Ovis aries: one gene and its partners. The protein of the gene in region 5 interacts with the protein of the main gene of each other region in a biochemical or structural test. Links are inferred from orthologs where the notes say so. Each region holds a gene or a part of one and is shown on either strand. Other genes may lie near its edges.

The links.
Region 1: of the proteins of XRCC1 (region 5) and UBE2I, one has a biochemical effect on the other in vitro, tested with the Homo sapiens proteins (2 studies listed by BioGRID). The link is inferred for Ovis aries from reciprocal best matches to the Homo sapiens genes XRCC1 and UBE2I.
Region 2: the proteins of XRCC1 (region 5) and PNKP form a complex in vitro, tested with the Homo sapiens proteins (3 studies listed by BioGRID and IntAct, with this or other methods). The link is inferred for Ovis aries from reciprocal best matches to the Homo sapiens genes XRCC1 and PNKP.
Region 3: the proteins of XRCC1 (region 5) and APTX form a complex in vitro, tested with the Homo sapiens proteins (2 studies listed by BioGRID). The link is inferred for Ovis aries from reciprocal best matches to the Homo sapiens genes XRCC1 and APTX.
Region 4: the proteins of XRCC1 (region 5) and POLB form a complex in vitro, tested with the Homo sapiens proteins (5 studies listed by BioGRID, with this or other methods). The link is inferred for Ovis aries from reciprocal best matches to the Homo sapiens genes XRCC1 and POLB.

What each region holds. Positions count from the first base shown.
Region 1 is NC_056077.1:1,565,201-1,571,297, forward strand, and holds the start of UBE2I (SUMO-conjugating enzyme UBC9), read left to right. Parts: upstream 1-1,995; 5' UTR 1,996-2,109; intron 2,110-2,473; exon of another isoform or gene 2,474-2,713; intron 2,714-2,936; exon of another isoform or gene 2,937-3,017; intron 3,018-6,097. UniProt on the Homo sapiens protein: Accepts the ubiquitin-like proteins SUMO1, SUMO2, SUMO3, SUMO4 and SUMO1P1/SUMO5 from the UBLE1A-UBLE1B E1 complex and catalyzes their covalent attachment to other proteins with the help of an E3 ligase such as RANBP2, CBX4 and ZNF451.
Region 2 is NC_056067.1:55,942,726-55,947,529, reverse strand, and holds the end of PNKP (bifunctional polynucleotide phosphatase/kinase), read left to right. Parts: intron 1-29; coding exon 30-87; intron 88-171; coding exon 172-279; intron 280-579; coding exon 580-651; intron 652-1,369; coding exon 1,370-1,418; intron 1,419-1,515; coding exon 1,516-1,586; intron 1,587-1,663; coding exon 1,664-1,756; intron 1,757-1,892; coding exon 1,893-1,989; intron 1,990-2,065; coding exon 2,066-2,127; intron 2,128-2,280; coding exon 2,281-2,390; intron 2,391-2,467; coding exon 2,468-2,555; intron 2,556-2,636; coding exon 2,637-2,698; intron 2,699-2,762; coding exon of another isoform or gene 2,763-2,782; coding exon 2,783-2,900; 3' UTR 2,901-2,956; downstream 2,957-4,804. Other genes in the region: PTOV1 (prostate tumor-overexpressed gene 1 protein), read right to left, coding at 3,735-3,746, 3,829-4,026. UniProt on the Homo sapiens protein: Plays a key role in the repair of DNA damage, functioning as part of both the non-homologous end-joining (NHEJ) and base excision repair (BER) pathways.
Region 3 is NC_056055.1:38,141,550-38,147,467, forward strand, and holds the start of APTX (aprataxin), read left to right. Parts: upstream 1-1,960; 5' UTR 1,961-2,471; coding exon 2,472-2,539; intron 2,540-5,918. UniProt on the Homo sapiens protein: DNA-binding protein involved in single-strand DNA break repair, double-strand DNA break repair and base excision repair.
Region 4 is NC_056079.1:36,545,040-36,551,217, reverse strand, and holds the end of POLB (DNA polymerase beta), read right to left. Parts: intron 4,863-6,178; coding exon 4,798-4,862; intron 3,129-4,797; coding exon 2,989-3,128; intron 2,314-2,988; coding exon of another isoform or gene 2,255-2,313; exon of another isoform or gene 2,052-2,254; coding exon 1,957-2,051; 3' UTR 1,812-1,956; downstream 1-1,811. Other genes in the region: DKK4 (dickkopf-related protein 4), read left to right, coding at 261-505.
Region 5 is NC_056067.1:51,463,348-51,468,378, reverse strand, and holds the end of XRCC1 (DNA repair protein XRCC1), read left to right. Parts: intron 1-70; coding exon 71-164; intron 165-305; coding exon 306-441; intron 442-698; coding exon 699-753; intron 754-844; coding exon 845-984; intron 985-2,272; coding exon 2,273-2,363; intron 2,364-2,779; coding exon 2,780-2,855; intron 2,856-2,954; coding exon 2,955-3,068; 3' UTR 3,069-3,155; downstream 3,156-5,031. UniProt on the Homo sapiens protein: Scaffold protein involved in DNA single-strand break repair by mediating the assembly of DNA break repair protein complexes. Negatively regulates ADP-ribosyltransferase activity of PARP1 during base-excision repair in order to prevent excessive PARP1 activity.

The DNA of each region.
Region 1 (6,097 bases), on a different chromosome or scaffold from region 5:
GTTTGAGCTCTTCTGCTTAGGTCTTTGAGTTGGTTCTGTATGTGGTGTGAGGTAGGGGTGGATTTTCTTCCTCTTTAACTCAGCCCCTGGAGCAGCAGCCCCTACACACAGACCTCCCAGGACCTGACCCTCAACAGCCACCTGAGGGAGCTAGCGGTGGCACCCCTACTCTAGGCAGCTGCGAATCACACCTACTACCTCTTCCCCCCACAGTGGGCACTTGATCAGGCGCAGTCCTCCAGGATCCTCTCCCAGCAATGGCCACCACTTTTCACCGGCAAATGTTACTGGACTGGGTGACTTCCCCGTGCAGCCCTGCGCAAACCTCCCCGGTACCCTCACAAAAAAGATGGTGCTGGCACTAAGCCCATGCTCCTGGGGTTCTTAAAACTGTAGCTCAGTGGTCAAGTGCTACATGGCAGGCCCACGTGGGACACTTGTTAAAACACAAACTTCTACTCGGAGCCGATGAACCAAGGCTGGGGACCCAGAGAACAGATGTCTCAGATAAGCCCCTGATCCTGGCATCTGCCCCGGTGAATAGACAGGGGAGGCAGTGTCCCAGAGCAGGCCCACGCTGGGTCACTGTGGGGACACAGGAGCCGGCAGCACCTTTGGACTTCAGAGCCTCAGAGAGACCTGGAATGCTCACCTGCTGCTCAGGGGGTCTGGGCCCTTACCCGGGACCCCAGGCACTATAACCAGGCCCTCTGGGCCACAGCTGACCCAGAGGCACCCTAGGCAGACTACCTCCCCAGCCCAGCGGAGCTACCAGCCTCAGGAGACGCCCCCACCTCAACCCCACGCCCAGCCCGGGGCCTTCTCAGGGCTAGTGACCATCCTCACTGTAACAGACGGGCTGGGAGCGCTGAACACCTGCTGAGAGCTCTGGCCCAGACGTGGGCCTTGGGACACTAGCCTTGCGGGGGCGGGGGGGGGGGGGGCGGTGCTGGGCGGTCTGCCCTGGAGGCCAATAGTCTCAGTACAGTGCCAAATAGGGGGCTGCCGGGGGTGAGGGTGGGGAGGATGGAAGGAAACGGAGGAAGGAGGAGACCCAGGGCGAAGGGGTGAATGAATGCAAGCTGGGGGCCGGGGTGGGGGGGCGGTCACCTCCCGCCACTTGACCCCAAAGAGCCCACGGGCGGAGGGGCTGACCTTGGAACGCTCCCTCTTTCCCACTCTGGGCCAGGGGACGGGGGTCGGGGGCCGCTAGACGGAGAGGCGCCCAGCGTGGCCGGGAAGGACAAGCGTTCGCGCGTGGGTTCGGGGCGGACCTGAGACCCCGGCCACAGGGGCCTAGCCCTGCCCCTGCTCCTCCCCCACCCGCCCGGACCACCCGGCGCCCCTCCCCCCAGGCCAGCCCCTGGGTTAGGGAGCGTCTGCACTTCTCCTCCCGTCGGTCGGGCCCGCACTTGGTCTTGTGTACGGGGCCTGCTCATTGGGCACATTAGACGGATGCCCCGCCCAGGGCCCCGAGTTGGCCAATCGCAAGGGGTTTCACAGCATGCCGTAGGCGAGAGATTGTCACCGTGCTGCGACGCTTGGGGGATCCCTAGGCCTCAGTGGTCGTTGCTCCTCCGCCCCGGGCCCTAGCCTCGAGGAGACCTCCGGGACCGCTGCCTGGGGAGGTGCCCGCGGGGCATCCGGAGAGCCCGGGGAGATCTCGGCCGCCCTGCTTCCCCGCCGCTACCCGGCCGGTCCTCGCGAGGAACAGTGCCCCGCGAAGGGGAGTTTGCAGACGCTCCCTCACACCCGGGACGCGGCCCCTTTAAGGACGCAGGTGTCCATGGCGCCGCCTGACTGGAAAGCCGCCTCCGGGCCGGGCTCCCGAGCGGGGCCCGGGGCGCGGGCGCGCGGCGGCGGGACACGGGCAGCGGGCGGCGCTCGGCGGCGCGGGCGGCGCGGGGCTGGCGGTGGCGGCGGCGGGGTGCGAGCCAGGCGCGCGGCGGGCAGGCCCCGCAGGCCCCGCCCCGCCCCGCCCGCGCCGGGGTCCTCGAGCGCTCGGGCTGCGCGCGGAGCGGGCTCGGGAGGGAAGTCCCGAGACAAAGGGAGCGCAGCCGCCGCCGCCGCCGCCTAGTACGCCTCGCTCGCCGGGCCGGGCCGCCCGAGGTGAGCGCCGCGGGGCGGGCGCCGGGCCGCGGGGGCCCAAAACTCCGCTGCCGGCGGGTCCGGCCGGGCAGGCGCCCTCCGCGCGCGGCCCGGCCCGTTCCCGGGGACCGGCCCGCCCCGGGCTGCTGACGCCGCGGCGGGGGCCAGCCCGCCGGGCTCCCTTCGGGTAGCCCGGCCCCCGGCCCGCCGCGGCCTCGGCCCGCGAGGTGGGGGCGTCTTCTCCGGGCGCGCGCTCGGGGCGAGTCGCGTCCGGGGCGGCCGACGGCGCGCTCGGCTCGGGCCGCGCTGACAGGAGCGCCAAGCCCTCCGCTCAGGCGGAGCGTTTCCGGGGTCACGGTCTGCGCGCGAACCTGTGGCGCGTTCCAGCCTGGTAGAGGACGCGCTGCACAAAGAGTGCAAAGCCGCGCGCTGCAGGAGCGCCGGCGCGTTTGGGGGTGGCGTGTGATGCCTGGAAACGAAAACAAGCCAGAGCTCTTGCGCCTCCGAGCTCCGCTCGCCGTTGCGGGGGACCCACCGAGTGTTCGCTCTTCCCTTGACGGGGAGATCTCGTCCCAAGACCGCTTTATACCAATTGCACGGCGGCTGGAGCTGATAGTTTTCGCGAGTAAGAGGAAGGCGAGGGAATGATTAGCTGGGCTGATGGTAACGGCCAGCAGCTGTCCTTGAATCACAGAAGTAACTGGTTTGGTTTGTACGATTTGAAAACAAGCTCCGTTGGCAGTTTCTCCCCGGTTTGCGGAGTTGGCTTTCGTTGGTCTGCTCTTAAGCCCGTGGTCCTCTGTGTTTCTTGCTCCCAAGGAAACTGCCTTTGGACGGAGAACCTGCCCAGCAGCAGGGGGAGAAGGAGCCCACGTTTGTGCTGACTTGATTTTGGGTGGGTTGGGGGTGAATTCTGCATCGTGCTGCACGTGAGTCTCGCTGGGGGTTTGGGCTTGCTTTGGAAACAGCTGGGCGTCCTGGGAGGCGTGTCAGGAAAGACCAGGGAAGTGCCCCTGGGCTGGAGGATCTCCTGAGCGCAGGTGAAGCCAGTGCCTTCCTTCTCCTGGCGAGCTTACGTTTGGGTGGGAAAGCCCACCAAGGGCCGCGAGCCTCTATCGGTTTCATCCTGGGCCGACCTCTGGGCTCACAGTGCTATCGCCCGTTTTACCGGTGAGAAGGTTGAAGGGGAAGAGGGAAGCCGTTGGCCCTCACCTGCAGCCGGTAAGTGGCTTCAGAGATTGATCTGAGAAGCGTGGGTTCAAGCACAGCCCACGCTGGAGAAGGGTGGCTGCAGACTTCAAGGGTCTGCCCCAGACCCGGATCCTGTGCTTCAGGCTGTCTCTAGCAGGTCATAGATACCCGATCTTTGCCTCTTAGTGATTTTGCTGCCCTGAAGACTGCGCACACTTAACAGCTCCTTAAGTGCCTCCCTGTCAGTTGGGAAAAGCTGATTGGATTCTAAGTGGGATGCTGAAGGAGTGGTTCCGTGTTGTAATTAAAATGTAGCAAATTGGCTGCTTTCTCCTGGGCAGCGAGGCCAGCCTCTCTCTGGGCGGGGGCAGGTGTGCGCCTGTGACTCCGCCATGGCTGCAGCATCTGTCTTTCAGGTGCCCAGTTTGGTTCTCACCCCCAAGGACGGGGTTGCAGCAGCTCTTGTGGGACACCCCTCCCATTACTTTCTGCACCTGAGACAGTCACAGCTGGCGCCCCAACAGGGTCTGCTGAGGCGGCTTTGTTCCTTGTCAGTAGAAGAGGTGGCCTGTGGCGGGGTCCTGGCATGCGGTCAGCAGGCATGCGGCACTGAGGATCACCCCACCGGCCTTTTCTACATCCTGGCCTAGCCATGCCGCTCCAGAGCCCTCGAGTGCCAGCTTGCCCATTCCAGAACCCATGTGCTGCCCAGGCTCCAGGAACCAGTCTTGAAGCCTTGCTGAGCGCAGACTCAGCAGGAACTTCACAGTGCACGGAGAGCCAGGCTGCTTGTCTCTGCCACTGAGCTCCCGTGTGGGACAGTTTAGAGGTGGTCCTGGCCCGTGAGGGGCTCCTGTAGGATTTCCGCACATCCCTAAGCCCCCACCAGGGGAGGGAGAGGCGTTCCCATCTGCCCTGGTGATGAGGCGGGGGCAAGTTCTGTTTAGAAGGGTGATGTGAAGTGAAGGGTTTTCAGGCTTCAGGATTACTGCCCTCATGTTCCCATGGACTTGAAAGCTGCTTGGCACTCCCCTCTGCTCTGCCAGCTCCCCACCTGAGGGAAGTGACCCCAGCATCTCCCACTCTGTCCTGTTTGTGGACAGTCTGGTGCTGCAGGCAGTGCCCAGGTGGCCAGCAACCACCACTAGGACCCAGGGGCACCAGCACGCCCACGTCAGCCTTCGGGCAGCCGCACTTGTGGTCTTCAACTTATATCACATGAATGAATGAAAATACCAGATGGGTGTGCACGTGTAGGGAAGGAGACCCCAGACAGGGTCCTGTCCATCAGGTCCACAGATGAGGAGGAGGTGAGCGGGCCAGGACTGGAGGTTCGGGGGTGGCAAAGAGAAATTCTCTTTGGGGTGTGGGCCTTCTTGCTTGGGACTTGATCTTGAGGTTGGGCAGGGTTAGAGCCTTTGAAGAGTGTCCTCAGTGGTCAGAGCCGGGCAGCAGCTCCTGTCACCAGGCCTCCTGCGTGGGAGCTAGAGTTTCACGCTCGCTTTCCCTTGTGTTGACACAAGTCTCCGTGTTTCTTGACAACTCACAGCACCCAGTTGTCTGGTGTCTGCAGTAAGTCACCCCACTTCCTGGACCCTGGGCTCCTGGGTGAGGCTGGAGTTTGTGGTGGCAATCCCAGCCCCGCCTCCCATATGCTTGCTTATTGGGGAGTGGTCCAAGAGCCAGACCCCTACAGAGTTCTGGCTCTTTGAGGCCACTGGGCCTGGGAACAAGCAGCCAGAGAAGCAGCCGCCCAGGGCCTGGCTCTGCTGTTGACCTGCTGACCTGACCCCGCTCCCCTGCACAGATGTGGGCACACCAGAGTGGCCACCAGCAGCCAGTGCTGGGACAAGGTCGCCACTTGGCTTGCTGGAGAAGTTGGGGGTCAGCCTGAGCCAAGTGATGGTGGGCCAGGGGCCTTGGTGAAAAACGGCCCTTCTACCCCTCGGTTTGACTTAAGGCTTCGCCCCCAGTGGGCAGGTTACCTTCTGGGTCTTTCCTTCTCATCTCTGACCTGGGCTTGGTCCCCTGCTTTGGGGCAGGGCCAGCACCGCTGGGAGGTATGGCCGGTTTCTTGTTCTGTCTTTGGTGGAAGTTTGTTTTGTGGCTGTGGAAGGCACGGCTTGCTGTCCTAGGAGCTTCCAGTTGCTGGGCCTCTCCCCTGCCAGAGGCGCAAGGTGGGGTGAGCTGGCCACCCCAGCAGATGTGCCCGGCTCAGAGACCCTCCCCTCAGTATGGTTAAAGTCGTGCTTGTGGAGGTACTTGATTCAGAGTACTCTCTGATGTTCCCATGGACTTGAAGACCAGCGAACACACTTAGGGTCAGATTCCCCAGAAGGTTCTGTGGCCTCTGGGGCCGGGTTCCTGTGGGCGGGAGGGCGGCGAGGGCAGTGGGGTTCTGACCTGGGCCTGTGCCTGGTCTGGTCGGCGCACAGGGTCAGCCGCCCTGGGACGTGACCCAACAGCATCAGGCGATGGATCTGTGTGCTGATGGCCCAGCCTTGAGGGTCTGGGTTCCAGAGGTGGGGTGAGGAGGGCATTCAGAAGTGACTGGGGGCCCCAGCAGCCTGGCTACAGGGTCCACTGCACCTTTTGCTGACTTCCCCAAAGTCCAGGGGACAGGCGGCGTGGTGGCGGGTCCTTGGGTGGGGTGTCAGATGAGGAAGTGGCAGGGCCATGGACGGCCTGCTGGTGGAGTTTGCTGGAGGCTGGGCTTGTGTGGCCCCTGCCCCTCATGTGATTGAGCTGCTCTCTGCCCAGGGCTGCCTTCCAGAACACAGGCTCCCCTCCTGGCTGGGCCCGAGCATGGATTCTGGCA
Region 2 (4,804 bases), about 4.5 Mb from region 5:
GTCACCTTGCGCTTCCTCGCCCGCACTAGGATCTTGTACCTAGAGATTCCGCGGAAACTCCGGGAACTGGCCGCTGAGGGTTACAAGGTGTGTACTCCGTAGGGGCCGGCTCACAAGGCGGGCCCGGGCCTGATGAGGAAAGGCCGGGGTGACACCCCATCTCCTTCACAGCTGGTGATCTTCACCAACCAGATGGGCATCGGGCGCGGAAAGCTGCGAGCGGAGGAGTTCAAAGCGAAGGTGGAGGCTGTGGTGGAGAAGCTGGGGGTCCCCTTTCAGGTATGGCTGCATGGGAGGCTGAAGGACTATGTAGAGGGACAGAGAGGCTGAGACAGAGGCCAGAGATTGCGTGGTGGGCCAGAAAGGAGGAAACAGAGACCCGGGGAGAAGGTGTGACATGGTGAGCCAGTTGGAGAGTGGATGGGGGCCCCGGGCGTGGTTATGCCGACAGATGCATTGCAAGCGGTGCTCACCTTGGTGAGCGTTGGCGTAGTGTCCTTGGGATTCAGGTGCCTTTGTAGGACTCTGGGTGTCAGAGCAAGAGTCAAGGACGGTGTCTGACCCCGGCCCCACCCACAGGTGCTGGTGGCCACGCACGCAGGCTTGTACCGGAAGCCGGTGAGCGGCATGTGGGACCACCTGCAAGAGCAGGTGAGCCTCCGACTCCCAGGGCTCCCTGCCCGCCTGCCCACTCCAGGTCTCTGCTCCATGACCTTCCCTGTCACCCCCTCCCCAGGCCTGGCCGCCTCAGTTTCTTTGCTATCATGTCCTGGTGCTGGTGGCTGAGGCCAATGCTTTTAAACTCGGGAAACCAGAGTGGTCCGGAGAGAAATCACCTGTGGATTCATTCATGGGTTTGTTCTTCAGAACAAACAAAGCTTCTTGAGCTGAACGTATTAGTGGACAAGACAGACCTGCCTGCGCCCGGGCCCTCGTTTAAGTGTGTTGACCGATGTGTAAACAGTGAGGGAACGGCCGGGTGTTGATTAAAGGCTTAAAGGTGGTGAGTGAGGGAGCCGTGTGTCATCTAAGGAAAGAGCAGAGTAACGGCAAATGCAAGGATCTTGAGATGGATGGAGTCCGGTATTTTCGCGGGCAGGGAGGAGGCCTGTGTGGCTACCGCTGAGCTGGCGAGGGGGCAATGCGAGGTCAGACTCTGTGGGGTCCGGAGCCGCGTCAGGTGGGAGCGGGCGCCCTCTGGCGGCCGCTTGTGGAACAGGCGGTGAAGCGGCTGAGAAGTGGCTGAGGTCTGAGAGGCTAGAGGTCAGGCCTAGGGCGGGGCACCGACAGAGCGACCTCCTGGCGGAACCTGTTAGTGCGACAGATGTGGGCTTGGGTTCCTTACTGCCTGTCATGTGTCCCTGCCCAGGCCAACGAGGGCGTGCCCATTTCCATCAGGGACAGCATCTTTGTGGGAGGTAAGGGCCTGGGGCTGGGGGGGGGGGGGGGTGCTGGGCGCTGATGCGGATGGGCCGCTCCTAAGGATGCTGGTGGAGACGGGGCTCCGTGTTCCAGACGCAGCGGGACGCCCAGCCAACTGGGCCCCTGGGCGCAAGAAGAAAGACTTCTCCTGTGCAGACCGCCTGGTGAGTGCCCCACCCGGTCCAGACACCGGAGCCCGCCCCCACCCCACCCCACCTGACTTGCTCCCTCGCCCCCCCAGTTCGCCCTGAACCTGGGCCTGCCCTTCACCACACCAGAGGAGTTCTTTCTCAAGTGGCCTGCGGCCCGCTTCGAGCTCCCAGCCTTTGACCCGGTGAGGCCTGCAGGGCTGGGTGGGGGGCACACATGGATGGGGCCCTTTGAGCTCGCAGCCTTTGACCCGATGAGGCCTGCGGCGGGGACGCACAGGGATGGGGCCGGGTTTCTCTCATCTTGTCTGTCCCTCCCAGAGAAGCATCGCCCGCTCTGGGCCTCTCTGCCTCCCCGAGTCCAGCTCCCTCTTAAGCTCAGACCCAGAGGTGGTCGTCGCCGTGGGATTTCCTGGGGGTGAGACTCCCTGACCCCCAGAAGCCCCAGCCCCTCTCTGACTCCTCAGGCCCCACTCACCCTGCGCCCTTCACAGCCGGGAAGTCCACCTTCCTCCGGGAGCATCTCGTGTCAGCCGGATACGTCCACGTGAACAGGGTAGGACGTGGTCTTCAGTGCCCCCCCAACCCCTAGACGGCTGTGCTTTCTGACTCTCCATCACTCTGCCTCGGTGTCCCCCCGCCGGCTCTGGGTCCCTGTGCCCCTGGGTGTCCCAAGCCCCATCCTTGATCTCTCTCTCTGGGTCTCCAGGACACTCTGGGCTCATGGCAGCGTTGTGTGACTGCATGTGAGGCGGCCCTGAAGCAGAGGAAACCGGTCGTGATTGACAACACAAACCCCGACGTCCAGAGCCGGGCCAGGTACTGGGGTCCCAGGGAAGGCCCCTAGAGGGCGGCTCCAGGCCTTTTACCAAGCTCCCCATCCTCCCCTCCCCAAGGTACATCAAGTGTGCCCGGGATGCGGGTGTGCCCTGCCGCTGCTTCCTCTTCAGTGCCACCTTGGAGCAGGCGCGCCACAACAACCGGGTGAGTGAACCCCCCGAGCCCCTCCAGCCCCCAACACCCCACCAAGCCCTGGCCTCACCGGCCCCACCTCTGCCCCCGCAGTTCCGGGAGATGACAGACTCCTCCCACATGCCCGTGTCCGACGTCGTCATTTACAGCTACAGGTGGGGGCCGCAGGGTGAGGTGGGGGGACATAGGTTGAGCCCAATGGTTGGGTCTCGCCTCTAGCCTGCATCCTCTGCCGCCAGGAAGCAGTTCGAGGCCCCCACGCTGGCCGAAGGCTTTGCAGCCGTCCTGGAGATCCCATTTCAGCTGCACGTGGTGCCGCAGCTCGAGCGGCTGTACCGCCAGTTCTCAGAGGGCTGAGCCACCCTGCCCTACTGGCCCTCGCCCCTTCCCACAATAAATGCTATTTCTCCTAACTCTTGGCCACCATTTTGCTGGAGAGAAGGGTGGTTCACCCAGCCAGGCCAGCAGCACAGACCCGTTGGGCCCAAGGTACCAGGAAGGTGCTACTGGGGACTCTGCCCCCCTGGGGGGCCTCTGCCTCTCCTGGGTTGGAGAGGTTTATGGTGGTGGCAGCTGGAACTTGCCTGGCCCTGCCTCGTGTCTGCTTCTAGCTGAATGAGGCCCGTGGAAGCCACAGGGCAGGGAGGGCAGCCTGGGAGCAGCTGCAGGAAAAACCCTGGAACACTTGGAGCAGCAGGTACTGCCCAGGCTGGGCAGCTCCGTGCACGGTGGCACCCTCTCCCAGCTCAGGTGAGAGTGGCCTGGCCTCTCCAGAGCCGGGAGTCTGAACAGAGCCAAGTGGCCGGAGGGCTTTTAAAAGACTTTATTGGGGAAACGTACAGGGTGGGGGCTGTCCTCAGAGACATCTCAGGACGTGGTCCTCCATCTCGCTGGGCAGGCGCAGTCCCCAGAGGCCCCTGCTCAGAAGCATCTGACCTGCGGGGAGGGGGCAGAGGGACTGGGTGGGCGGCCCCCGCACTCCGCCCCAGGCCGGAAGCCTCCCGGGGGCTCAGCGGGGGCAGGCGGGCCTCTCCCTCTCTGGTCTCCTGGAGGCCAGGGTCACACCACCTCCCAACCGCAGGCGTGTCCACGGGGCCCTCCTGCCCTAGGCCGGCTGCCACTCACCAGTCTTCGCAGGGGCCTCATCTGTGACTCCTGGAGAGGCCCGGCCCCGGGGGGGGGGGGGGCCCACTACCCCCCCATCTGTGGGGAAGGACAGCACGGAGGAGTGAGCCTTGGGCGGAGGCGGGGAGGGGAGAAGGGGCGTGGCGAGGGGGGCCCTTACCCCTCGCTGCTGCTGCTCCTGCTCCAGGTTCCGCTGGAGCACCTGCTGCTGGTTGGCGATGACACGCCGGATGCCATTGACGAAATTGCTCTGGTCGTGAGGGATGAGGCCGATGAAGATCTTCTTCTCCGAGGAGTACAGGAGCATGAGCACGCGCACCTCACAGGAGGCCTTGTAGGAGAAGTGCACGCAGCCAGCCTGGCAGTGCAGAGCACGGTCACGGCTGGCCCTCAGCTCACTCCTCCCCTCGAGAGCCCGCGTCCAGAGGACAGAGCGTTCCGGGCCGTCCCCAGGCCTGTCACCACTCCCACAAGGGGACCCAAGACAGAAGCACCTGCCCAAGTGTCCTCCCAGCATGCTCTGGTGATCCTGTGACCCCCCCACACCGGCCGGGCGAGCGCCCAGGACCAGCCATAGCCGTGACACACAGCACCACACACAAGCCTCCCCACGCTAGGATAGAGGCGGCGGGGCCCCAGGGCTGCCTCCACTGGGAAATCCTAGAGGCAGCCAAGAGCAGGGAGGCTGGGCAGGCGACGCACCCCGTGGCTCAGCATCACAGCACCCACAGGCACCAAGCGCCTCCCGACCCATCTCACAGGATCCTCGCCCTCTGCAGGCCTGGGGGTCACTGTCCCTGTCTCCCAGGCTGAAAGCTTGAGGCCCCACTGGGTCTCAGAAGGGGCTGTGCCACCGTTGGCTATGTGCCATCACAAGAGGTCACTGGTGACAGGGCCAGGGGAAGGCACTTCCAGCACCCACCGGGGCCAAGAGCCTGCAGGGGCTCACAAGAAGGCCTCCAAGGGAACTCTGAGCTCTTCAACTCTTCATCACAAAAGGCATACACAACCAGCCCCTCAAAAGCATGAAGGCACAACTATGACGCCTTCAGCTGATTTAGAAAGAAATGCTGAGCTGGGGACAGCGGGACCCGGTAGAGCAAACACCCAAAGGCGGACAGGGACAGCTGTGGCTT
Region 3 (5,918 bases), on a different chromosome or scaffold from region 5:
TTCCTAAGTGTTTTGAGGCTACTGCTGTTGATCCAATGATTACACTTTAGGGCTACTGCATTAAATAATCTGGAGTGGGTTGCCATGCCTTTCTCCAGGGGATCTTCCCTACCCAGGGATCCAACCATCTCCTGCATTGGCAGCCTGGTTCTTTATCATTAGTGCCACCTGGGAAGCCCAGCACACACGCAGCACACGCATTAGGTAATACCACAGGCTTATTCGCTATTAATTTTCTATACATGTGTTTGTGATAAATCTTTGGTTCTGGATTCCTTGAAAATTTTAAGTGCCCCCCCGCAATACCCTTAAGCTGTGCATTTCCTGGGCCAGTAATATGCTATAGAGAAAGGGCTAGACCTAATAGGTTGGACATTTTTGCACAATATATGTTGAATGACCAATTAGAATAATTCAATCCAATTTTGAATGCCAGACACACATAGGCAGGTCAGGTATTTATAGAAGCAGAGGCTAAGAGAAGCTTAATTCTGTGTGTGAGTGTGGTGCTCAGTCATGCCCAACTCTTTTCTACCGCAAGGACTATAGCCCACCAGGCTCCTCTGTCCATGGGATTTTCCAAGCAAGATTACTGGAGTGGGTTGCCATTTCCTTCTCCAGGGGATCTTCCCAACCAGGGATCAAAATTGTGTCTTCTGCATTGGCGGACAGATTCTTTACCACTGTGATGCTTGGAAAGTGCTTAATTCTGAGGGAAAAACAAGACTGGTCGGGTCACCACAACAGCCTCTCTTTACCTGGAACAGTGTGAACCACATTCCACTGCCATGAGGCCTGTGCAGCCGCGGAGCTGCTCCTTGTGCTCCCGCACTTCCTGGTGTGACCTTAATATAAACCTGCATCTTTTCTGCCAACAAGGGCAGCTCTCCCTTGTTTCCTGGAAGATCCTCCTATTCTGTTTTAATAGCTGATATCTTCATCCTACGTCTCGCGCCTTGTAGACAGATGCTTTACTGTCTGAGTCACCAGGGAAGTCCTAAATCTCTATGTAAGGAAACGATATTAGAAAAGAGACACAGTTTTTCCATCTGCCAGAATGCCTTTGAATTCTTGCAGTTCATGACTCTTAGGGAACATCCTGGAACTGTCATAAAAATCAGTAAACATCTCATTCCAACATCTTGCTATTCTCCTCCCTGACAGCCCCTCAGCCAGTTCATTCAGTGAAGACAGCATTAAAAAAATCTTAGGTTTCTCCACTTCTGGCCCCTTCAGACCTTTCTCACTCAGAAAAAGAGAAAGCCGATTGTAGCTTCGAAAGCGTGCGGGAAAACAATGCCACAAGCAGGTACTGTCTACAGCGGAAACGGTGGCTTTAAAAGTAGTGAGCTTTTCCTTATTGCTGCTGCTGCTGCTGAGTCGCTTCAGTCGTGTCCGACTCTGTGCGACCCCATAGACGGCAGCCCACCAGGTTCCCCCGTCCCTGAGATTCTCCAGGCAAGAATACTGGAGTGGGTTGCCATTTCCTTCTCCAACGCATGAAAGTGAAAAGTGAAAGTGAAGTCGCTCAGTTACCTCTGACTCTCAGCAACCCCATGGACTGCAGCCTACCAGGCTCCTCCGTCCACGGATTTTCCAGGCAAGAGTACTGGCGTGGGGTGCCATTGCTTTCTCCGGAGCTTTTCCCTATGAAGGGAAAGCGAAAATCAAGATGCTGCATGGCTGCCTAGAAGCGGCCACCGAGAGGATAGCTGCCTGAAGTGTATCCCAATTCAGAGATTAAGAGGTGGTGACTGGGGAGCGGCTCTCGGATAGAGGGGAACTGAGAGAACTCGTCGTTTTTTGGTTAACTGCCAGGAACCAAACTTGGACTTTTGCCCAGTTCGGAACCAAATGGGGCGGGCACTTCCCCATCCGGGCATCTAGCGAGATCCTCAGTCAGTCTTCCGACAGGCACTGGAAACGTCACAGGTTGCGCCCCAGTTTGTCTTGCAACGTCATCCCTCAGCGCCGGAAGTGAAGGAGTAACGTGAGCTTGTTGGCCTCAGCCATCTGGAGGTAAGGCGGTTGTCGGCCTACCTCGTCTCCTGCCGTATTGAGAGCCGTGAGTGTGGGCATCGAGTCCACCTCTACCCCAGAGTAATGTTCCCTGAATAACGCTCTCACGGCTCTTTCCCGGCAGGCAAGCAGGCGTTGCTCCATCCTCGGGCTCTAAGGCCCAGGGCTGCCCATTTCCCTCCTGCCGTGTTTCAGCGGCTGGCGGCGCTCGTGTTGGTCTCCACTGCACTTCGCGTTGGTTCACCTATGCGCCTGACACCTGAACCTAGCTTAGTCAGAGCACAAGCAGAAAAAAGATTAGAGAGTGGGCACTGTCTGACCCAAGGAGGCTTCGCAGCCTGTCAGGAGCGACTTTGTTTTCTCCAGAAACGCTCCTTGAGAAGAATTTGAGGGCCCTTCACAGCATCCACAGCTGGCCTTGTAGGAAGACCAGAAGAATCAAGCCTTTTCTCATGCAGACCAATGATAGCGGTTCAACAAATCAAGGCTATAATTTCCATGTGGAATTAATGTGGTCCAGGTTTGGAGCCTTTTGAGAATTTGATATATATCGGGAGCCATTAGAACACAGAGGACAGGACTACTCTGTTCAGGGAGACAGAACATTTGTGCCCTGTCACCTTCGCTGCAAGCAGTGTTGTCGGATGATCTTTTAACATTTCCTTATAGCGCCTATTCTTCACTATTAACGAGAGTGGTAATGATGTTGAATGCTGTTTTTTTGCCAGGTGCCGAACTTTTTACATCTTAATTTAGCCCTTGTGACAACAGTGTGGTGTAGAGCCATAATTAATATTGTTTTCCAGCTGAAGAAGTCTTAGTTTAAATAACTGGCCTCAAATTATGCAGTGAGTAGTGGTGGAGGGAAGATTTGAACGTGAGCAGTTGGATTTCAGAGGTCTGGATGTTGTCCACTAATTTATATTGATTGTCTTTAGCTGATTCTCAACTGCCCAGACACCTTACTTTGTTGTTATCTGCTATTTTAGGGAGAAAATTGAGTTCATCCGATGTGCTTTCCCTCAAATTTCTACCCTTGCTTTCTTTTCATACACTCGTCAAAGTTGATACCACCTATCTATACCTTTCCTTCAATATCAGAGGATGATCTGTCTCTTGATCAAAACAAATTTCTTTATCTTTGCTTCTGACCTTTCTTTTATGTTTTCACCTATGAAACCGGGGCTTTCATTTGTCTTTTCTTCCCTTGTCTGTGTCCCAGTCATGTATAAACAAGGTCAGGTTATTCAGATCCCTGCTCCTTATCCCCCAAGCCAGAAAGAAAAAGTTCCTGGTGATCCATCTTTCTTTAGCTCACATACAGTAACTCTCTTCTCCTTATCCAGACTTTTTGAAGAGTATTGTGAATTCTGTATCCAATTCCTCACCTCTCATTCCTTTCTGCGATCTAGCTTTCAGATCTGTTATTCCCCTAAAATTTTATACAGTAGTCACTAGTGACTTATTATCAAACCAAATATACGTTCTTTAATCATTACGCTTCCCTAGTGGCTCAGACACTAAAGAATGTGCCTGCAGTGCAGGAAACCAGGGTTCGATCACTGGGTTGGGAAGATCCCTTGGAGAAGGGAATGGCAACCCATTTCAGTATTCTTGCTTGGAGAATTCCATGGACAGGGGAGGCTGGTGGGTCACAATAGGGTCACAAAGAGTCGAACATGACTGAGCGACTGACACTTCCGATCATTACTGGATCCTTTTGCTGCAAACGTGGTGATACTTTTTACTCTTTACTCCTTTGCTTTTCACGACAGTACACTAAGCTGATTTATTCAACAAACATTTATTGTGATATACAGATGAACATGTCAAAGTGCCTCCTTCCCTTGAAGAGCTTACATTTTAGCTTTTTTTCCCCCCGAGTGTTTCCCTCACCAGTAATTTCTCCTGTGGATAGTCCTCCCTCCTTGTCTAAAATGTTGGGTGTTTCCAAGGCTTGTGACTTTGGCCCACTATTCTTTTTATGCTGTACACAATTCTTGAATGAGCACGTCAACTAGCATGGCTTTAACTCCTTCCTGTATGCTCCCAAATTAAAGTGTCAGCTTAGACCTCTGCTGAGTTTCATTCTTACCTCTGGCTACCCTGCTGGATACCTCTGCTTGCTAGTCCCACAGACTGTTCAAATATTGTCTTCTCTGTACTTAATCTTAGCACATCCATCACTGTCTTGTTGATTTTACCCTCTAAGTAGTTCTTAAATCTGTGTTCTTTTTTTGTCTGTATTAATGTCCTACTTTGAACCTTCTTTCACCTGAAATATGATGGCCTTCTAACTGGTTTCCCTGTCTCTAGATCAATTCCCTGCATAACTATTCTTTAACTACCTACCATCCTGCCCCAAGTGATCCTTGAAAACAAATCTGAGTCAAAGTCCTGCTTAATAATATTTAAAGATCTGTCATTTCATTCACCCTATCTTTTCTTTCATTAAGCAAATATTTATTGTTTACTAAATTGCAAAATCCATTAGAGCTTCTAAAGTTTGAGCTTCTCAGCCCATCACCCAGGGCTTTGCTTCATCTGGACCTGCCTGCATCTCCAGCCTCTTATTGACCTCATACTTTAGGTTGCAGCAACCCTGAACTGCTTCTTCATGCGTGTACACTGTCCTGTTCCTTTTGACTGGAATCTTCTCTTTGATTCCTTCCTCCACTTCCTGCTCCTCAGCTAATTAGGCTGCCCACTTTCACCTAACTAACCAGTTCATATATAAGTCTCAATTTAGGCCCATCTCTTATAGGAAACCTTCCTTGACACCTTTCTCCAAGGCTAGGTTGGGTATTCCAGCTTTGTGCTCCCACAACACCTTTTGCATGCTGCTGCTGCTGCTAAGTTGCTTCAGTCATGTCCGACTCTGTGCGACCCCATAGATGGCAGCCCACCAGGCTCCCCCATCCCTGGGATTCTCCAGGCAAGAACACTGGAGTGGGTTGCCATTTCCTTCTCCAATGCATGAAAGTGAAAAGTGAAAGTGAAGACGCTCAGTCATGTCCAACTCTTAGCAACCCCATGGACTGCAGCCTACCAGGCTCCTCCATCCATGGGATTTTCCAAGCAAGAGTACTGGAGTGGGTTGCCATTGCCTTCTCTGACCCTTTGCATGGACCAGTCATTATACTTTTCACATTTGTTGCATTTGTTTTTGAATCTCTGTCCTCCCCAAGACTCTGAGCATCTCGAAGGCAGGTATGATGTATTATGCCTGCATCATACAGTACGATGAGGCTTTTGCTGTCATAGAGCTGGCAGTTTATGGGGTTTTACTGGATGGGTTATATTGACAGTTCAGGAACAGCCATCTTTCTGTGCGCCCCATATTCTAAAATACTTCATTCCTAGAAGTTGAAACTGTAGGCTGAAATGGACCAAGATACTGCTTAAGGTTAGTTATATAAGCATTGTGTCGTCACTGCTTCAGCCTCTCAAGGAGTAGTAAATGGGAGCATTATAACGTCAGAACTTTAGGGAGACTGAAGCACCTGAGTGTGTGTGTAGGGCAGGAGGAGGAGTTCCTCTTATCCTGCAAAAGTTAGCCGTGCTCTCAGCTGCCCATTGGATTCCCTCCTGTCCTTGCTCTTCAGGTATTCTCTCTCCAGGCTCCTTTTATTATTCCTGCGAGTCATCAGTCACCACATGACTTATTTCCCAATGCTTAATGAAAACATGCTTCATTGTTCCTTCTTCAGTTTCCATCAAGTGCAAACAGATCCCTCTGAGCACATAGCATTTAAAAGTGGGGTTTGCCTGTAGCACCATCATCACTTGATGCTCTGGGTGAAGGATTTTAGATTTACAGCTGACTCTTCATGCTCGCGCATCAGCTTCTTCACAGAGGAGCTGCCTCTTAGACCTAACACTGGCCCACATTGTATTAA
Region 4 (6,178 bases), on a different chromosome or scaffold from region 5:
CCAAGTTCACATCCATTGAATCAGCGATGCCATCCAACCATCCCATCTTCTGCTGCCCTCTCCTCCTCCTGCTCTCTGCCTTCTCAGGCAGTATCTTCTGCTCGGGAGAGCTGTCCGTTTCACTGCTGTGCTCAGCCTTGGAGCCAGGCGTGCTGCTCCAGCCTAAGTTTGCCGGCTTATCCTCCCTGCCTTGCCTCACCCCAGTCACACCCCGACAAGCCACCTGCTTATCACTAAAGCCTGTGTCAATCTTGTTACAGCACGAAAGGGACAAAAGTGTCTCACAAGTTTAGACTGCGGGCCCGAACTTTGCTGCGCTCATCATTTTTGGAACAAAGTCTGTAAACCGCTGCTACAGGACGGACAGGTCTGTTCTGGGAGGCATTACAACTTTGGCCCAGTTCTGGGTCAGTCCCAGCGCTGTAAATGTAAGGCCGGGCTAGTGTGTCGGAGTCAGGTGGCTCATCGACGCCGCGGACGGTCGAAAGTGTGCCAGAAACCCTAACGGCTGCAGGTCTAACCCAGCAGAAGGCTCAGGCGTGCACTCGCACATCTTCCCATCTACACATCTTAAAATCCCATCTTGTAATAAGTGAAACAAACTGAGCTGCAGAAGCTGTCTTGTGAGGAATAGAGACTAGTTTGGCTTTTTGTCTGTTTCTGCAGAAAAGTGCAAGTGATTCTACAACAAATTTAAGTTCATCTAGTCATTCAGTTAGTTCAAATAAATCTTTTAAGTGATTTCTGGTGAAGCTCTGACACCTGATGGGAATTGTGGGGAAGCGGAGTGACAGTTTATCTGCTGTTAAGTCAGCTTACCAGGGAAAACTTCCTTAAAGCCCCTACTGTTTATAAGCCTTCATGTCTTGGAAGGGAAACGCCATCTCGCTACAAAAACAGAAACCTGGTTAATAAAGATACAAGATTCAAAAGATAATAGCCTATGTTGGTATAACCCACTGCAAGTTCCAAAGCACTTTTCCATTAGTTTGTTTTCAATAGCCTTACTATTTAAGAACTTTTCATATTTTTGTATTGATATAATTTCTGCATTTCAAAGCTTGGGCTTTCAAGGAGTGCCTGACCATCTGTACTCAAAAGTTACACTGGAGGAAAACAAGGGGAAAAAAGTGAAATCTTTGTCTATTTGAAGTTTAAATGGTCATATTTGATACAAATGGGTGAATGTTGGAAAAGACCCTGATGCAGGGAAAGATTGAAGGCAGGAGGAGAAGGGGATGACAGAGGACGAGATGGCTGGATGGCATCACCGACGCAATGGACATGAGTTTGCGCAAGCTCCGGGAAACAGTGAAGGACAGGGCAGCCTGCTGTGCTGCAGTCCACGGGGTCACAAAAAGTCGGACACAACTGAGTGACTGAACTGAACTGAATTAGGGAAGTTCTTTCTCATGGATTACAATCAATTGCTACAGATTTCATTTGAGAGACAAACCACATACCTGTTCTTTAGTTTATAAGTATTTATAACAGAATCAAATATGGGTCAAGCAAAGACAAAAGTGAAATTTATGAAGTTCTCTAATCTCTAAAAAAGCCTGAACCCTCTTCCAGAGGCTGGCCCCTGGGTGCACTTTAACTAATTTATAATCAGTAAACAGGAGGAAAGGTAATGAGGTAATGTAGTTTATAACATAAGGGCAGGAAAGGAGAACATAAAAATCCCCACTTAAGATTTGTTATCATCTCATCTCTTAATTCTCTCTACTGACCCTTAGTAAAGTGCAGTCATCAACAGAATATATAAATTTAGACGTTTGCTAATAAAGTAAGAACTAGATCACAGCTGATAATCATACAAGATGTTTTATTGACTACAGTGCAGGTTACGGCATGAAGAAGAAATAGTTACTTAAAAACACCACAGACCCTTACATAGCAAAGCTTAAGAAATAAATTAAGATTCTGATTGGGCTGTGCCGGGGAGGACGGGCCTCACTCGCTTCGGTCCTTGGGCTCACGGTACTTCCACTGGATGTAGTCGAAAATGTCCTTCTCACTGTCCACGGGCAGGGGCTCCCCGGCAACGCCTGCAAGGAGGGCCAAGAGACCTTCCTCATGAGCCAGTTCTGGAGCTCAGTTACAGAGGGGTCAGGATGGAGAGCTGAATAGGACTTGCTTCAGAGGGAAAATAAAATAGTCCACAAGCGACTTAAAAAGACCTCCCTCGAGGGCTTCTGTTCATGCTTTGCCACACACATATCACCAGTGCTACACAGCGAACCTGAATACCTCAACTCTGGCCCTTTGACGTGACCCTAATCCATGACTCTCCTCTCTGCTGGATCTCCCCTGTGCCAGAGAAAAGACTCCAGTGAGTTCCTCTGCAACTCAGCACACGGTCCCTGGACTAGCAATGCAGCAGTCCCGCAAAGCCCACTGAAGTGAAACCTGCATTGAGTGAGGGTCCCATGTAGTCTGTACACCCACTGACACGCGACAAGCACAGCCCTACTTTACAGTTTTAGGACAAAAAGACGAAATCTTCATTCTCCTAGCAGATAACAGTAGACCACATAATAAATAGACTGTGAAATGTTAATAAGATCTATAAAACAGACTATGTAATTCTTACTCTTTAAACTGTGAAAGTTTGGAGTCAAAGCTACCAAGTCTGGCCTGACACTGAAAGGAGCAACACCTGAGTTTTCCTGAAATCTTGGAGGCACATTTAAGAAAACAAAAATCCTTTAGGTCAATAAGAGTTTCTTCTTTTTTTGCTGACCATGGAAGTAGAAAGAATTTAATCCATTTGAACACAGAAAATAACTAAATCTTGTCATCATGAGCTGAGGGCCTGGGAACACCTATGGAGCAAAGCTTTCTCTGTTGCCTGAGGGACTAACAATTCTAAAGAAACTACAATTAACTGCCATGGTTACTTAAAGGCTCTTAGAAAAACCAAAGTTGCTAAACCAAAATATCCCGATGACTGGGATTATCTCCGATGCAGACACAAATACTCACCAGTGACACCCAAGGGACGGATTGTGTATTCATTGATTGTGAAGCCTTTTTCTAGGGCATGAGCTCGCATATTCTTATTGAAAATATCACTCCCGGTGAAATAGAGGACACCGCAGTAATACTGGTCCTTGGGTATCAACCTAAACAAAAGAAACAAGCGAGCAATCCTTTACTATGCATTTCAAACTTCGCAAAAATAGGACTCATAATCAGGAAGGCATAATACAAGCCTGTGCAGTCCAATAACCTAAAGAGACCCCCATCACTAGGACCATTCAAATGTCCTCAACCGTGCAGTTAGTTCAGGCTTCAGTAAACCACACTCTGCAAGGGGTGTGGACAAACCCAAAGATGGTCTCAGGACCACCTTCCCCAGCGGGATCCACCTCATGCTGTGGCAGGCACCTTGAAAGTGAAAATGAGCGTGAAGTCGCTCAGTCATGTCCGACTCTTTGCAACCCGTGGACTGTAGCCCACCAAGCTCCTCCGTCCATGGGATTCTCCAGGTAAGAATACTGGAGTGGGTTGCCATTTCCTTCTCCAGAGGATCTTCCCAACCCAGGGATCGAACCCAGGTCTCCCACATTGCAGGCAGACGCTTTACCTTCTGCACCACTAGGGCCAAGTACTAACATCAAAGATTTCAAGGGAGGAAAGAAAGCCAGGTTGAAAGAAGGGAGAGGAGGTGGGAGAGGTGAGGTGAAAGGGGTGGCCTTACAGACGTCTCCTGCCACCTACAGATACCCAGGTGTTATGGGACTTTTCCCTGGGCCTCCAGAGAAGGGAGGACTGGAACTCGCCCCTACCAGAAATCAGACCAGACCAGAACCAGAATTCAAGTTCTCTGCCAAGAGGAGGTGATCAGTCTCCAATCCTCAGCTCTGGCTGAGGGCCTTTCAACCAGATTCCTGCAACCAAGACCAGGGGACCAGAAAAACAGGCAAGGATAGGAAGGGTTAAGCAGAGGAAAGAGAGAGGGAAGGGGAGAGAGGTCAATGAATCTCTTGTTCCTTACCGGTCAGGGCACTCTGGCCAGTTGTCCGCGTCAGGAGGAGACCAGGGACCAAAGGGTCCCAGTTGCGGACGCTGGGTCTGGTCCATTGGCAGGCAAGCTGGCCCGAGCACCCCGAGTGGTCAGGATGTCAGTCTCAGCGGAGAAGAGTCCCACCAGAGTCACCATTTGTTTCAGGAAGGCTGACCCCTTCCAGGGCCCGAAACTGGGCTCTTGTCTAACACTCGGAAATGAACTGCCCGAGGAGACACATGCGCGGACAAAGCAAGAGATTTTCTGGGGAAAGGGCACCCGGGTGGAGAGCAGTAGGGTATGGGAACCCAAGAGAACTGCTCTTCTCTTGATAAGGAAGGCACCTTATGAAGAGGCAAATCCAGAGATAATAAAGCAGATTCTGTCGATAGTGTTACTTTTTACATACTTTCAGGCCAAAAAGTGTCTATTGCAAGGACATAGGGCACTTCAGGGGCTTCCCAGGGGGCACTAGTGGTCAAGAATCCACCTGTCAATGCAGGAGAAGTAAGAAACGGGGTCAGGAAGATGCCCTGGAGAAGGAAACGGCAACCCACTCCAGTATTCTTGCCTGGAGAATCCCATGGACAGAGGAGCCTGGCGGGCTACAGTCCACAGGGCCACAAAGAGTTGGACATGACTGAAATGACTTAGCAGTAGCATGGGTCTGCAGAATGAAAAGGGATCCTGGATATTTATGTAAATTCCAAGATATACCCAGGGGGAGGGGTGGGGGGGAGGAGAAAAGAAAGGAGAATAGGTCAGCAACAAATTTTGAACAATACCTGATATCAATTCTCCTGTGTGGATATTCCTTTTCATCGTTTTTCCTGGGAAGCTGACAAACACCCTAAAATGGATTTTAAAATGTTTAAAGATTTTTTTTAAGAATTTCAGGCTTAATTCTAATCAAATATTGTTAAGTGTGAAGTTACCTCTGCTTTAAACGGAGGTGGTTTTAGCCTATGAAAACCTGTAACGTAACTTTTCTCCGTTCTATGTCATCACCCCCTGTACTGTAATACTTCGTGATTACTAGAGAACCACAGGGAGCAGCAGATGATGAGCCATCTGGCTTTTTTGTGACTCTGAACAAGAAAATAATCAAGGAAAGCACGAAAGACAGACCAGAACAAACAGAAACAAGCAACTTGGAAGAAAAAATGATTATTTAGGAAGACAAACACACCCACAAAAGCTACCAGTAATCTTCTCAGATTATAGATATTTTATCCATGATACAAGGACAGAATGCTACAGAAAAAGAAAACTCTAGGAAAGGATTTAAATCAAAATAAAAAATATTATAGAAAAATTGGAAGTTGGAGATATCATCCAGAAATTAGAGAAGACAGAGAGAGTACAATTAAGAAAAAAATTAAAAGATAGAGGACTGTTTTATTCCTTCTCTATGGGGGAGTTTCCTTATACTTCGGTAGTTTTTAAACAACAATTATCAAGGTCTGTTTTGTTATCTTTTCCTTTTCCAGAAAAAATGGGGAAAGTTTATGGGCTGGGCAACAACCCATATGTAAAATATGTAAAAAAGAAAAACATTGCCATTTTTCAAAGTTAAAGCTTCAAACGCCACATTCCGAGAAAAATACACAAGTTACAAGCTTCCAGTTCTGAAGGGCAGTCCAGCTGGTACACACATCACTAAAAGCCGTCCGTTTCACTCAGCAACACAGAAGAATCAAAATCTAAAATGGTTATTTTCTTTAGCAACTCCTCTGGCTGAGAGATTAACGAATCCTGTCTATCTTCAAATATGAAACCTACCTTCTCAGGCACTAACACTTACAACTCAGATGGAATTCCCATGAGGTACTACCTTGCTGACATGGAGGTCTGAGTACCATGGGCAATGGTCTTGCTGTCTGTCACACCAGTAACAGGATTCCAACTGATGGGTTTGTTCCTTTCCTCAAGGCTAAATTTCATTTCCTGAACTTTTTCTGAAGTGCTGGTGTTAAAGAATTTCTCTGTATCACTGTAAAGTCTGTATTAGAGTGAGTGGATTAGTTTTGTTTGGCATTTCAATGAGGTAGCTTTATGCTGACTCTGAAATAAAGCCTCCTCCATTCCTCTCGTGTGGCCGAGGTTTCTCCTATCAGAAAATCATCTTCTGAGGCCAAACCTGCACAAAAACGCTAAGATATGAGT
Region 5 (5,031 bases):
CTTAAGCCCCCTCCCCACCTCCCCTGGAGGACGCATCTGCTGTTGGTCTGAGGCCCGATCCCTCCTCCAGGTACCTCATGGCTGGGTCAGGCTCGAGCAGCGAGGACGAGGGGGGCTCTCACAGCGGCAGCAGTGGGAATGAAGCCCCCAAGGCTCCCCGAAAGGTCCATGCCCCTTGCCCGGCATGGGGGAGGGTGGAGTCGGGGGGACACGGTACCCCAAACTCTCTACTTCTGTCTCCTGCGGGCACACACTCACACCCTCATTGCCCCTTCCCTCCTCCCTGACCCACCCTCCCTCCTCAGCGCCCCCAGACCAAAGCCAAGCCCCCTCAGGCAGCAGGACCTAGCTCACCCCAGAGACCCCCAACCCCAGAAGAGACCAAACCAGCCTCACCAGGGGCCCAGGAAGATAATGACGACACTGAGGCGGAGCAGTCAGGTCAGAGTCTGAGGGAAGAGCGGCTGAAGACCCAGATTCCCTCGTCTAAAAGGGGAAGGAGTTCCAAGTCTGAGCTCCTGGGTCCAGCGAGATGGGGCTGGATCCTAGACAGTGGACCTAGGGGGTGGAGGGAGGCCGCCCCCTCACCCCCAACTGGATCTGGGGAGCAATTGGGTTGGGGGTTGAGACACCCCACCTATGCTCAGGTGTGAGGCTGGGAGGTAGGGGCCTCGAGCTGACTAAGTGTCTGCTCACAGAAGGACGGGACAACGGGGCAGAAGACTCTGGGGACACCGAGGACGAGCTGAGAAGGTAGGGTGGGGCTGGGTGGCTAGGGTGGCCCCGGCCTTGGGTGGAGGGGAAGCCGATCTGCACACTCTTTCCCCACCCTTGGCCTCTCCAGGGTGGCCGAGCAGAAGGAAGAAAGGCAGCCCCCTGGTCAGGAGGAGAATGGCGAGGACCCGTACGCAGGATCCACAGATGAGAACACGGACCATGAGGGCCCCCCGGAGTCTCCCGACCTGCCGATTCCCGAGCTCCCAGGTGGGAACCCCTCCCTCCTGAGGTGGGGTTTGCCCTGTCACTTGTCTAAGGTGACTTGCCCCAGGCCCCCTGGGATGGCCGCCGCCCACTCTGACTTGTCTCCCAGGCTCCTCACCCTCCTCCCTGACCTCTGCCACCTCCGTATCCTCTCAGGCCTGTTCCCTTCCTGTCAGCATCCGTGCCTGTCTGTCCCGTCCTGACTTCCACTGTGACCACCTCCCTCACAGCCCAGCCCCTTGCCAGACCCCGTTTAGCTTCTCACCCCCTGATGACAGGGGCCTCCCACTCCCTCGGCTTCAAGACCGACCTGGGGGCTTTAAGAATCTGCAGGTACCCCAGCTACACCCCCCGGGTTCAGCTTTGTCGGTGGGGGTGGGGCTCAGGGAATACAGCTGTGCCGATCTCCGTTGGGACCCGCCTTGCTATCCATCACCCCAGACATGGGGGCAGGCATCGGAGCCTCTTCTGGTCAAGAATGAAAGGAGAGGGACTCCCCGGGTGGTCCAGTGGTTAAGATTCCACGGTATGGAATGAACGGTATGACTGTAAAGGGGGTGAACTGTTTGGAAATCAACGAAGATTTCCTGGACACCTTTTTTGGGACTTTCAGATAAATATCTTAGGTGAAAAGGATGATACTCCAGTTCATTTGTGCAGGGGGCTCAGGTTTGATCCCTGGTCAAGGAGCTAAGGTCCCACATGTGGCGTGGCGCAGCCGAAAGAGAATGAAAGGAGAGCTGGACAGTCAGAGGCTCTGAGTGGAGGCGAGGGTCTGTGGCCTCCCGAAAAAGCTATTTCCACCCGGTTCCTCACAAGTGATGGGCAGGAATGTACTCTGATCCTCCTCCAAAGCCCCAAACGTGACCTTGGCAACTTAACAGAAAATCATGTTAAACTGGAACAAAGAGCCACCCTGAAGGTCAGCGTCAGAGAAGGCACTGGTTAACAGGAGTGGGCTAGCCAGTGGAGGAAGTGGCCGGATGTGAAGTTTCCAGCCTAGACCAAGTGAAGGAACTGACTGACCTGGTTTAAGAAACACATTGCCACTAATAGTAATTGTATCTATTACCATTAATATAAAACAAAACCCCATTAGGCCTGCCTAGAACCACTGCTTGTCAGGGATGGCTTCTGAGTCAGGGTGTCCACGGACATTCCGCACCCCATCCAGCCACTGCGCCTGCTTTCTTGTCCAGTCTGCAAATGTCCCGTGGCTCCTGGCTGGAACCCCGGGACTCCAGGGGTTCATGTTGGCTCTCCCCGCCCCATCTCCATCTCTCCCCTGCAGACTTCTTCCAGGGCAAACGCTTCTTCCTTTACGGGGAGTTCCCAGGAGACGAGCGGCGGACACTCAGCCGCTATGTCACAGCCTTCAACGGGTCAGTCTCCAGGGGCAGGAGGTGGGGGGTGGAAGGTCATGGGGAGGATGGAGAAGGGATATACCCTGAGGGTCGACACAGGCTGTGGAGCTCCGTGCCAGCCCTGCTCGCTGTGCTAGGGCCCTGGACGCATAGCTTCCCACACCACACCCCCAAACTCCCCGTCCCCGACCCTTTCACCCCCACTTCCTCTTGTCTAAAATGAGGCTCCTCACCGCCCTTCTGAAAGGATTGGTGCTGGCAGGAGCTGGCGGTTTCATGGATACGGCGAGCCTGGCACGTGGGAGTGGGGGACCCACGGGTGGCCCACAGGGGACGTGGGTGGGGGTGAAGAGAGGACGGCCTCTAGGGTGGTTGGGGAGGAGGGCGTCAAGAGACGGGGCGCCGATTCTCCGCCTCTTCGCATCCCCCGCCAGGGAGCTTGAGGACTACATGAGTGAGCGGGTCCAGTTTGTGATCACCGCGCAGGAGTGGGACCCCAGCTTTGAGGAGGTGAGTCCTGGAGGGGCAGGAGAGGGAGGCCCAGCCTGCCCCAGCACATCCCCCAGCCCCTCCTGGCTCACCCTTCCCACTGCCCCCCGCCCCTTGCAGGCCCTGACGGACAACCCCTCCCTGGTGTTCGTCCGCCCCCGCTGGATCTACAGTTGCAATGAGAAGCAGAAGTTACTTCCCCACCAGCTCTACGGGGTGGTGCCCCAGGCGTGAAATGTGTGTGGACAGACATGGACGCACACACACATGTGCACGCATACACACACCCACACGAGTGTAATAAAGGAGACTTGGCTTGGAGCAGCTGCCCCTCCCGCTCGCGTCTCTGAGAACCCCCAGCAGGCTCCCTGCCTTCTGTCTCAGGTTTGGTTCCACTTGGCTCTGAAGGCTGGGTCTTTGGGCCACCTGATGACTCCTGTCCTGGGGTCTGCGGAAGAACGACCGGCTCTCTGTCCGGGGCCTGGTTGGGAAGGAGCTCCTTATTACTCTCCCTGGTGCCTCCCCGCTTTGGCAGCAGGTGGTAGGGGATTGGGAATCTGACACTCAGCACACACCCCTCAGCTGGTTTGGATCCCTGGAGCCCATTCCCGTATCTCAGTTGTCCCTCTGGGGGTCCTGGGCTGTGGGTTGGGATGCTCATGGGGTGGCCTCCCTTGAAGTCTCAGCTCCCCTGGGCCAAGGACATCTCCCTTTCTCCAGGGCTCTCAGAAGTAGCTGTGAAACCATCCCCAGCCTGGTTTGACGTCACCTCATTTGGGAGGGAGAGCTAGGGAAGGGGCATTTAAATTACCCTCCACAAATCCCAGACCCTCTTTAAGGCTCCACCATATTTAAGGTGGGACCTGACCTGGTTGTTAGAGAATCAGGGTAGAAGGTGGGGGTGGGATGGGGGACTTATCTGGTGGTCCAGTGGTTAAGACTCCGTGTTCCCAATGCAGGGGCATGGGTTCAGTCCCTGGTTGGGGGAGATCCAGCATGCCAGGTAGCACAGCCAAAAATTACTAAACAAAATAAACAACCACCTTTAGGAGTTCCCTCGTGGTCCAGTGGTTAGGACTGCGCAGTTCCACTGCAGGGAAGATGGGTTCAGTCCCTGGTCAGGGAACTAAGGTCCTGCCTGCCATTCGGTGTGGCAAAAAAACGAAACCAAAACTTAGCAACAGGGAAACGAACAATTCACTTGCTCAGCCACAGTGGCCGTGCTTCCAGTGCCCACCGGCTGCTGGTCTGGACAGTGCCGACGGAGAGCCTTCCCTCACTGTGGAGAGCAGGTAGGGCAGCCCTGCAGTGCAGTGGACGGCAGCCTAGAAGCTCGAACTTCATCCTAGGGAGGGCAAAGGGCAGGGTCAGAGCTGGGGAGCAAATGACCACCAACTTGGTGTCTTAAAGGTCATAACCTAGATTTGAGGTCCAAAATGGGTCTCGCCAGGCTAACCATCAGGGCGCAGGCAGGGCTCTGGCTCCTCCTGGGGCTCTGGGAGAGAGTCTGTCCTTATCTTTATCTTTCCCACTTGCAGCCCACGACCCATGCCCCTTCTGTCTTCAAAGCCAGCAACGGCTGGTGGAGTCTTTCTCAGGCTGCGTCACTCTGACACTGACTTCTTGGGGTTATGCTGCGCCCACCTGGATAACCTGGGATAATCTCCCGGTTTTAAAGTCAGCCCGTTAGCAACCTTCCTTCCTTATGCTGTCTTTAAATGTTTTATTCATTTCTGACTGTGCTAGGTCTTCGTTGCTGTGTGGCCTTTCCTCGTTGCACCAAGCGGGGACTACTCTAGTTGAGTTGCCCGGCCTTCTCATTGCGGTGGCTTCTCTCATGGCTGAGCACAGGCGGGCTTCAATAGTTGGGGCACATGGGCTCAATAGTTGTGGTGCCCAGGCTTAGTTGCTCTGAGGCCTGTGGGATCTTCCCAGGTCAGGGGTCGAACCTGTGTTTCCTCCACTAGCAGGTGGATTCTTTACCACTGAGCCATCAGGGAAGCCCCATCATGCTCTGTTAATTCACCTTTGCCATGTAACATATCCACAGGTTCCAGGGATTAGGCTGTGGGTGTCTTTGAGGGGTTATTACTGTGCCACCCACACCCACCATGTGTAAGGCACTGGGGCTCTGGTGTGCCAAATGAGACATGAGTCCCTGCTCTCATGGCGCTGACATTCTGCTGGGGGTCAGAGA